2 linked regions of the Caenorhabditis elegans genome follow. The protein of the gene in region 1 interacts with the protein of each later gene in a pairwise test. Each region holds a gene or a part of one and is shown in the gene's direction. Other genes may lie near its edges. The genes, in order: col-71 and wee-1.3.

What was found.
Region 2: the proteins of col-71 (region 1) and wee-1.3 interact in a two-hybrid assay, tested with the Caenorhabditis elegans proteins (one large-scale study listed by BioGRID).

What each region holds. Positions count from the first base shown.
Region 1 is NC_003280.10:3,500,253-3,504,168, reverse strand, and holds the start of col-71 (Cuticle collagen 71), read left to right. Parts: upstream 1-1,598; 5' UTR 1,599-1,724; coding exon 1,725-1,820; intron 1,821-2,123; exon of another isoform or gene 2,124-2,243; coding exon 2,244-2,604; intron 2,605-3,363; coding exon 3,364-3,916. Other genes in the region: Y49F6B.2 (Fcf2 pre-rRNA processing C-terminal domain-containing protein), read right to left, coding at 353-477, 524-688, 757-996, 1,085-1,195. UniProt on the Caenorhabditis elegans protein: Probable cuticular collagen-like protein. Nematode cuticles are composed largely of collagen-like proteins. The cuticle functions both as an exoskeleton and as a barrier to protect the worm from its environment.
Region 2 is NC_003280.10:9,714,565-9,718,480, reverse strand, and holds the start of wee-1.3 (Membrane-associated tyrosine- and threonine-specific cdc2-inhibitory kinase wee-1.3), read left to right. Parts: upstream 1-2,013; 5' UTR 2,014-2,018; coding exon 2,019-2,274; intron 2,275-2,345; coding exon 2,346-2,854; intron 2,855-2,902; coding exon 2,903-3,250; intron 3,251-3,299; coding exon 3,300-3,437; intron 3,438-3,483; coding exon 3,484-3,797; intron 3,798-3,862; coding exon 3,863-3,916. Other genes in the region: Y53C12A.11 (PRE_C2HC domain-containing protein), read left to right, coding at 1-309, 356-435, 482-617; Y53C12A.6 (uncharacterized protein), read left to right, coding at 706-716, 765-882, 944-1,003. UniProt on the Caenorhabditis elegans protein: Acts as a negative regulator of entry into mitosis (G2 to M transition) by phosphorylation of the CDK1 kinase during oocyte maturation.

The sequences.
Region 1 (3,916 bases):
CGACGAAATTTCGTCGTTTCAAGTGAAAATCGATCAATTTTCAGCATTTTTTTGGGGTTTTCGAGTCCAAAATCATAATTTTACGTTAAAAAAACGCAAAAACTGCAGATTTACAGGATTTTCGGCAAAAATTCGGCGTTTTGAGTGAAAATCGGTCAATTTCTACCGTTTTTAGCGAGTTTTTGCATTAAAAATATCAATTTCCAGGATTTTTGGCAAAATTTCGCCGTTTTGGGTGAAAATCGGCCAATTTTTATCCTTTTTAGCTCATTTTTGCTCTAAAAATCACGATTTTAACGTTAAAAACGCAAAAACTTGAATTTTTTCACAAAAATTCTTGATTTTCCCGTACTTTTTCTTGGCTTTGCTCAACGATTCCTCATTATGCAAAATCTCGTCGACCATCGTCTTTTTTCGCTCTTTTCGCACCATTCTACTCGAATAAAAGTCTTCTGGAGCGTCAACGACTCGTCCAACCTGAAAAATCTCGGATTTTTTGGGAATTTTTTAAATTTTCTCGAACTTGGAAGTATTTCGGCAGTACAGCCCGGTCATTTCGACGATAATGAGCCAATGGATCGAGAGTTGATCTCATTTGAAGGAATTCCAAATCTCGTTTGTGCTCATCGGTGAGCTCCGTCGCTGGAAGGTTGAACCAAGCGGATCCTTTGGTTTTTTCGCGTTCTGACTGGAAAAATAGCGATTTTTATTGGATTTTGAGCGATTTTAATCGAATTTTCATCGATTTCAACGCACTTTCTTCAGCCTGGCGGCCGCATTCCGGCCTAAAAGCCTATTTTGAGGCTGATGATCGCCTTCAAACTTCGGCCCGACAACTGACTTTTCCAGAAGCTCCTGCAAGTCCTTATCCATCTCATATGGCTCCAAATAGGATGTTCCGAGCAGGTCAACTGCCTCAAAAGCTCCTTCTTTTGGCGCTTCTTCACGTACGGCTCTGTCAACGACGAAATCATCGAATTCCTCGGCGACAGGCTTCTGAAAATCGATTTTTTTGGTGCTTTTCTGGGAAATTTTCGGTTTTTTTCGCTAAAAATTTGCAAAAATCGCCGTTTTTTGTGATTACTTGTTGCTTTTGCTTCTTTTTTGGAATTTCCTCGTCGGAATCCGAATCTTCGCTGCTTGAAACGTCGGGATTCTGCTGTTTTCGTAGCTTTTTGAAGTAGAGCGCAGACATTTTGAGCTGAAAATCATTCAATTTCAATTTTTATTCGAAAAAACTGGCGAAAAAGAGCGAAAACCGACGAAAACCCGGTGAAAACCTTCGAAATAAATAAATTAAATTAACCATATTCGCAATGGAGCGCGGATGCAACTCGTGGCCTAGAAAACTCCAACTCGGCCCCGAAGAGGAAAAACTCCAAATTTTCAAGATTTTCTCGGGAAATTGATGGGTTTTCGGGTTTTTTTGAGGGAATTTCGAGCAGAATCGATGCTTTTTAAGCTCCAAGCTTCAGAAATTGCGAAAAATCGGCAAATTTCAGCCAAATTCCAGCTTCAATGACAAAAAACTTTATAGAAAAGCTTCTAATTATATCGTTCATTATCATCTTTGACGTCTTTAGGGAACACTTTTTTCCAGCATTTTCCGCCGAAAATCCGATAGACCACACACTCTGCGTCTCCACGGCGTTACGTTATCTCTCGCATGCGAACCAACTTTTTCACCGATTTACCGGTCGTTGGCGATTTTCGGCGGCTTTAAAATGCGCAACGCAGGCGGTGATAAGCCATTCTCCACACCCGTTTTGCTTCGCGAAATGGGCTTGAAGACGCACGTTGATGATGATCCGAAGACTAAGGTGAGCGGTCTATTTCGAGTAGGCCTAATAGGCTTTCTAGGCCGTATAGGCTTGCCTTGTAGGTCCTCTAGGCGCCTGCCTTGTGGGTCTTCTAGGCCTTCTAGGCGCCTGCCTTGTAGGCTTTCTTGGCGCCTACCTTGTAAGCTTTCTAGGCCATCTGGGCGCCTGCCTTGTAGGCTTTTTAGGCGCCTGTTTTGTAGGCCTTGTAGGCCTTCTAGGTGCCTGCCTTGTAGGCGCTCTAGGCCTTCTAGGTGCCTATCCTTTAGGCCTTCTAGGCGCCTACCCTTTAGGCCTTCTAGACGACTGCTTTGGAGGCTTTCTAGGCCATTTAGGCGCCTACCTTAGAGGCCTTCTAGGCGCCTGCCTTGTAGGCTTTCTAGGCCTTCTAAGCTTATAAAAACTAAAAATCCATATCATTTCCAGGCCTACCGCCTTATCGGCTACGCCGCCGTCACCTTCTCCACAGTCTCGGTGATCTGTTTCTGTGTCACAATGCCAGTTGTCTTCACCTACGTCCAATCGGTAAAACGTCAGATGTCCCATGAGATGGCCACGTGCAACGTCAATGCTCGTCAGATTTTCGATGACGTTGCTGCTCTGCGAGCCGGCTTCCCATTCGCACAGGCAGGCAACCGTACCGCCCGTCAAGCTGGATACGATGTGCATCCGAGCAAGCCAACGCCTGTCGGATATAGTGGTGGAGATGCGGCTGCGGCGGAGGTGAAGGGAAATAGCCCGGCGGCCGCCTACGAGGATAAGCCGTTTGTTGCTGTTGGAGTTGAAGGTGAGGTTTAAGCCGTGTAGGCCTTGTAGGCGTTGTAGGCGCCTGCCTTCTAGGCCCTGTAGGCTTTGTAGGCTGCTTCGTAGGCGCCTGCCTTGTAGGCGATCTAGGCCTTCTAGGCGCCTGCATTGTAGGCTTTCTATGTGCCTGCCTTGTAGGTTTTGTAGGTCCCTGTCTAGTAGGCCTAGCAGGCGCCTACTTTATAGGCATTGTAGACGCCTGGCTAGAAGGCCTTCTAGGCATCTGCCCTGTATGCGCCTGCCTTGTATGCCTTGCATGCTTTTTAGCCGCCTGCCTTGTAGGCTTTCTAGGCGCCTTCCTTGTAGGCATTGTAGGCTTTTTAGGCGCCTGCCTTGTAGGTCTCGTAGGCCCTGTAGGCGCATGCCTAGTAAGCCTTTTAGGCGCCTGCCTCGTACGCTTTCTAGGCACATTCCTTGTAGGCTTTCTAGGCGCCTGCTTTGTAAACCTTGTAGGCTTTGGAGCCGCCTGCCTTGTAGGCGTTTTAGGCTTTAGAGCCGCCTGCCTTGTAGGCGTTGTAGGCTCGCAGGCGCCTGAGTTGTAGGCTTTCTAGGCGCCTGCCTTGTAGGCCTTTTAGACAGGCGAAAAAAAGAAAAAACCGAATTTTTCATACAGCTTCAGGCTTTAGAAAATGTGAAAAATTGTCACATAAGCTCCGCCCACTTAATGGTCAAAATGGAGTTTTTGCGATGGAAAATCCGATTTTTTCAAAATTTTCACTCCAAACAAAATAAAAAATTCCAGAAGGACCACACACCGCCACCACGGGCTCTGACTCCGAAGGAACGTGCCACGACTGCTGCCTTCCAGGCCCACCAGGCCCACCAGGACCTCCAGGCCGTCCAGGACCAAACGGAAAGGCCGGCGCCAACGGACTCAACGGAAACCCAGGAAGACCACCAGAGGCTCCATGTGAGCCAGTAACCCCACCACCATGCCCACCATGCCCAGCAGGACCAAAGGGAGCCCCTGGACAAGCCGGGTACCCGGGAGCCGACGGGCAACCTGGATCGCAGGGAGACAATGGAGAGAAGGGATCAGACGGTGCTGCTGGAGAGAAAGGACGTCCAGGACCACTTGGAAAGATCGGAGAGCCGGGAGCAACTGGAGAGACGGGAGAGAACGCTGAGAATAGTGAGCCGACTCCAGGACCACAAGGACCACCGGGAGCCATTGGACCAGTTGGATCACGTGGAACTCCAGGACATCCTGGAGAAGATGGAGAAGCTGGAGCTCCGGGAGCACCTGGAGAGAATGGAACTGACGGAGAGAATGGAGAAGATGGAGTTCCTGGAGT
Region 2 (3,916 bases), 6.2 Mb from region 1:
ACGGATGCTTCGATTCATGATTCGCTCATTAGGCCTATCTCGGCTCCTGGTACAATCAGTTCGGAGAATGCGAATGTTAATGTGAAATCGGAACGTGAGGCGTCGAAATCCAATCCAAATATTCCACGATCTGAGAATCTACTCGATACAAAATTGGATCGCCAAGAACTTGCGTCCTTCCCTCGGAATATTCAACAATCTGAAAATCTGCAATCAGCGCAAACTTTCCCAGCTGTGAATCGAGGAAGGAAACGCCAAATCACTCACGAAAATGCCGATAATGCGAATCCGGCAAAGCGGCCAGACTTGGCAATTCTTTAAGTGTCCAAATTGGAATTACAAACTTAAATTTCAGATGGCGAGTCACTTCATGATGCTGAACATCAGGGACAAACATGTGGTGCAGCGAGCGACGAGAATTCTTCGTTTCTTGGGGTGAATATTTGGTTTAAAAATGAAATAATTACAACATTTATTTTAGGATAAAAGAGTTTATCTTCTCGGATCCAATCGCTCAAAGCGTCGCAAATGAAAGTCGATCGGCCGTCGCGTTCACCGTTTCCCCAAAGGATTCCGCAAAAATTTTGGAAAAAAATCAACGACGAGAACTGGATTGATGTTTTCGATTGCAAGAAAATAAAGGAGCGCAAACAAGAGTTCTTCTGGTACAAGCTGGATCCTCTTGATTTGGCCAAAGCAGTGGCAATGGCTTCACAGTAATTGATTTTTCTCATCTAAATTATAAAATCATTGCTATTTTTCAGAATGAACGACAGAGGAGTCATCCCGTATCCAACACCAACGCTCAATGATGCCCTCAATGACCATGCTGCTTTGATCCGCGCACTGAACGATTCATCGATCAAAAAGTTGTTCAAAGAGGTCAGATTTTTTTGTACCATGAGAAAACGATTCAGCACAATCCGCAATAATCCAATTTCAGTCAAGCGAGAGCCCACCAATTTCTAGTTCAACATCAGAAATTCAAGAAAATAATTTTTAAATTCATTTGTCAAATATCCCATTTTAATTTAAAACCATGTATTATAATATTTCTTTAAACCCCAACCATTGCAAATATGTGTAATTTTTAAAATCTATTCGCTGGTTTGATTGCTTATTGCACCCACTTTTTTATTAAATATGAAAATTCTATTGGTAAAATAAATTTTAACTCTTAAATTTTCCTGTTTTATAAAATTTTCCTGTTTTATTTCCCTTTGTTCTACTTTCAATGCTGTATATCTGACTTTCTGCGGTGTTTAGGTAGATGATTGCTCTTGAATTGACAGGCCGTATCGGAGAGTCTTAAAAGTTTTCATCTGCTAAACCGGTTTGTAGTATGTAAATAGTCCGACAGATCCAAGCTACTGAAATTTTGTTTAACGTGATGTAATTCACATTATTATTATTGAAATTTTAAAAAAACACTATTTTTCTTTGGGTCTGCTAGACTACAAACTACAAAACATATCTAGCAGATAAATTGTCTCATATCGCTCATAGAAGACCCACTACAGTTTAATATTGAACCCTTTCTTCGGCAAAATTGGTCATTCCGGTTGAACACCATATTTAAAATTATTTTTTGAATATCCCGCTGTTTTCCCCTGTCTAGTCTGCATTTGAGCGCCACGGTGTTTGCACAATGTGTCTTCTCCTCTTTCGCGCGCTTGTTTTGAATTGCAATCGCCGTTGGCAGAATTGTTTGTTTTCTCGCTGTTTTGTCGCCTCCGCCTAATTGATTATTCATTCCTTCATACTAATATTATCTTATTATAGTAATTTCAATGTTAATTCCAATATACTCTCAGAAATCAAAAGGTTTTTTAGTTGAAAACGTTCCAAACACGTTATTATCGATTTCTCTCTATTTAGCATCTTCTCTGCACCGCAAAAATCTATTTTAAAAAATTTCTGTCGATATTAATTTTGATAAAACATGTTATTTATTTTCTTTGACCTTCCTTCCTTCTTTTTTCCGCTGCGTATGATTAATTTATTCATTTTCAGTGAAAATGGACGACACAGAGGGTAACTCCTCGATGGATTCCATTCGAAATGGTCAATCAAGTCCACTTCCACAGGTCACTCCACGCTTACCACAAATCCCGATGATGATGCGTGAGACACCACTTTCCACAAAACGTGAGCGCCAAGCAATTACTCCACGTTTCCGTCGTCCAGCTCCGAAAATGATAAAAACTATGCCACCAACAAGAAGCATTTGGTCTGTTCGGAAGGAGTCGGTCCCACTTTTGGTCACTCCGCAGGGTATGTCGAGTTGATTATTTTAAACATTAATTATTTTTGATAAACCCAACACATCTCAAGCATTTTTTCAGGACCAAAACCACTGGAATCGCCAAAGTACGATCATACAAATGCTCAATCATTCTTTGAACAAGTATTTCAAATCGATGAAATCATTGGAAGAGGCTCGTTCGGAGAAGTATTCGCAGCCAGATGCCGTGAGGATTCCCAATTGTATGCTGTCAAAGTATCGTTAGCTCCGATCCGGCAACATTCAATTTCCAAGTACCGAGAAGCTGAGAGCCATATGATCATTCCACCGCATAAGAATCTTGTCAAGTTCTACAGAGCCTGGGAGGAAACTGGTCGATTGTATATTCAAACAGAACTTTGCGATCAAAGTCTTTTGAAATATTGTACAGAGAAACATGCACTACCGGAGGACGAAATTTGGAATATTTTCGTAGATTTGCTCCAAGCTGTTCATCATTTGCACTCGAACGACATGATTCATGATGATATTAAACCGGAAAACATTTTTCTTACAAAGGACATGATATGCAAACTCGGAGATTTTGGTTTGGTTATTAACCTTAAAAATGTAAGTTCATACTTTTTAATATTCTGATTTTATTCAATCGATTTTCAGCCAAATGATGTGAAATCAGCGGAAGAAGGTGACTCGAAATATCTTGCTCCAGAAGTTTTGAACGGCCGTCCCACGAAATCATCAGACATTTTCAGTCTAGGAATGACAATTCTTGAGGCTACTACTGATCTTGACGTTCCATCAAATGGAGATTCGTGGCATCAAATCAGAAATGGACAGATTCCTGATAGATTCTTCGCTGGAATTTCTACAGATCTTCGCAGTTTAATTGCCTTGATGCTTGACTCTGATCCGAGGATTCGTCCAACAAGTCGAGATTTGCTTGATCATCCGGTAATCAAGAAGAAGCTCATGAAGCGTGGAACCTATGTAAAATGCATTTCAATTGTAAGTTATAGTTTTGTGAATGAGGGATTTTGACAATCACTGGTTTCAGCTTAACGGCTTTTTCTACGCCTTCAGTGCTGTTCTTGTCTGGGTAATGGCTTTCTTCTCGGTGCTCTTTCATCCTATTGTTCGCTTCCATGCTGCAATTAAAGACCGGCAATCGGAAATTTGTGCGCAATTTGTCAATGTAATAAGTTTTTTTACCCAAAATTTTATCAACTCGAATTTTTCAGAATCAGCAGCACACTCCCATCCAAACTCCAGAGACTTCTAAAGTTTATTTGGAATCTCTTACTGGAGTGGCTGTTCGCCAAGCATCTCAAATTGTGTCTCCTTTCGATTTTTCCGATGATGAGAATCCACCAAACGCGCAACGCCGTTTGTTCACTGGTGCAGTGCCGTGTCGCTTGAACTTTGATAACGATCAAGATGACGATGAGGAACAGGCGACTTGCTCATCATCAAACTCTTCAGCTATTGAGCCCCAATTGGATGAACCGGAGAGTCCGCCGAGAATGAACGATGTTATTGATAAACTTGGAAAACGGTTGGTTTTGTTGTTAAATATTCAAAAAGTTTCTGGATTCTCTATTACCAACTGCTATTTTTCAGAGGAACTCCAAGATCAGCTCGTCGTAATCTCACTTTCAACCGTCATCGTCAAGT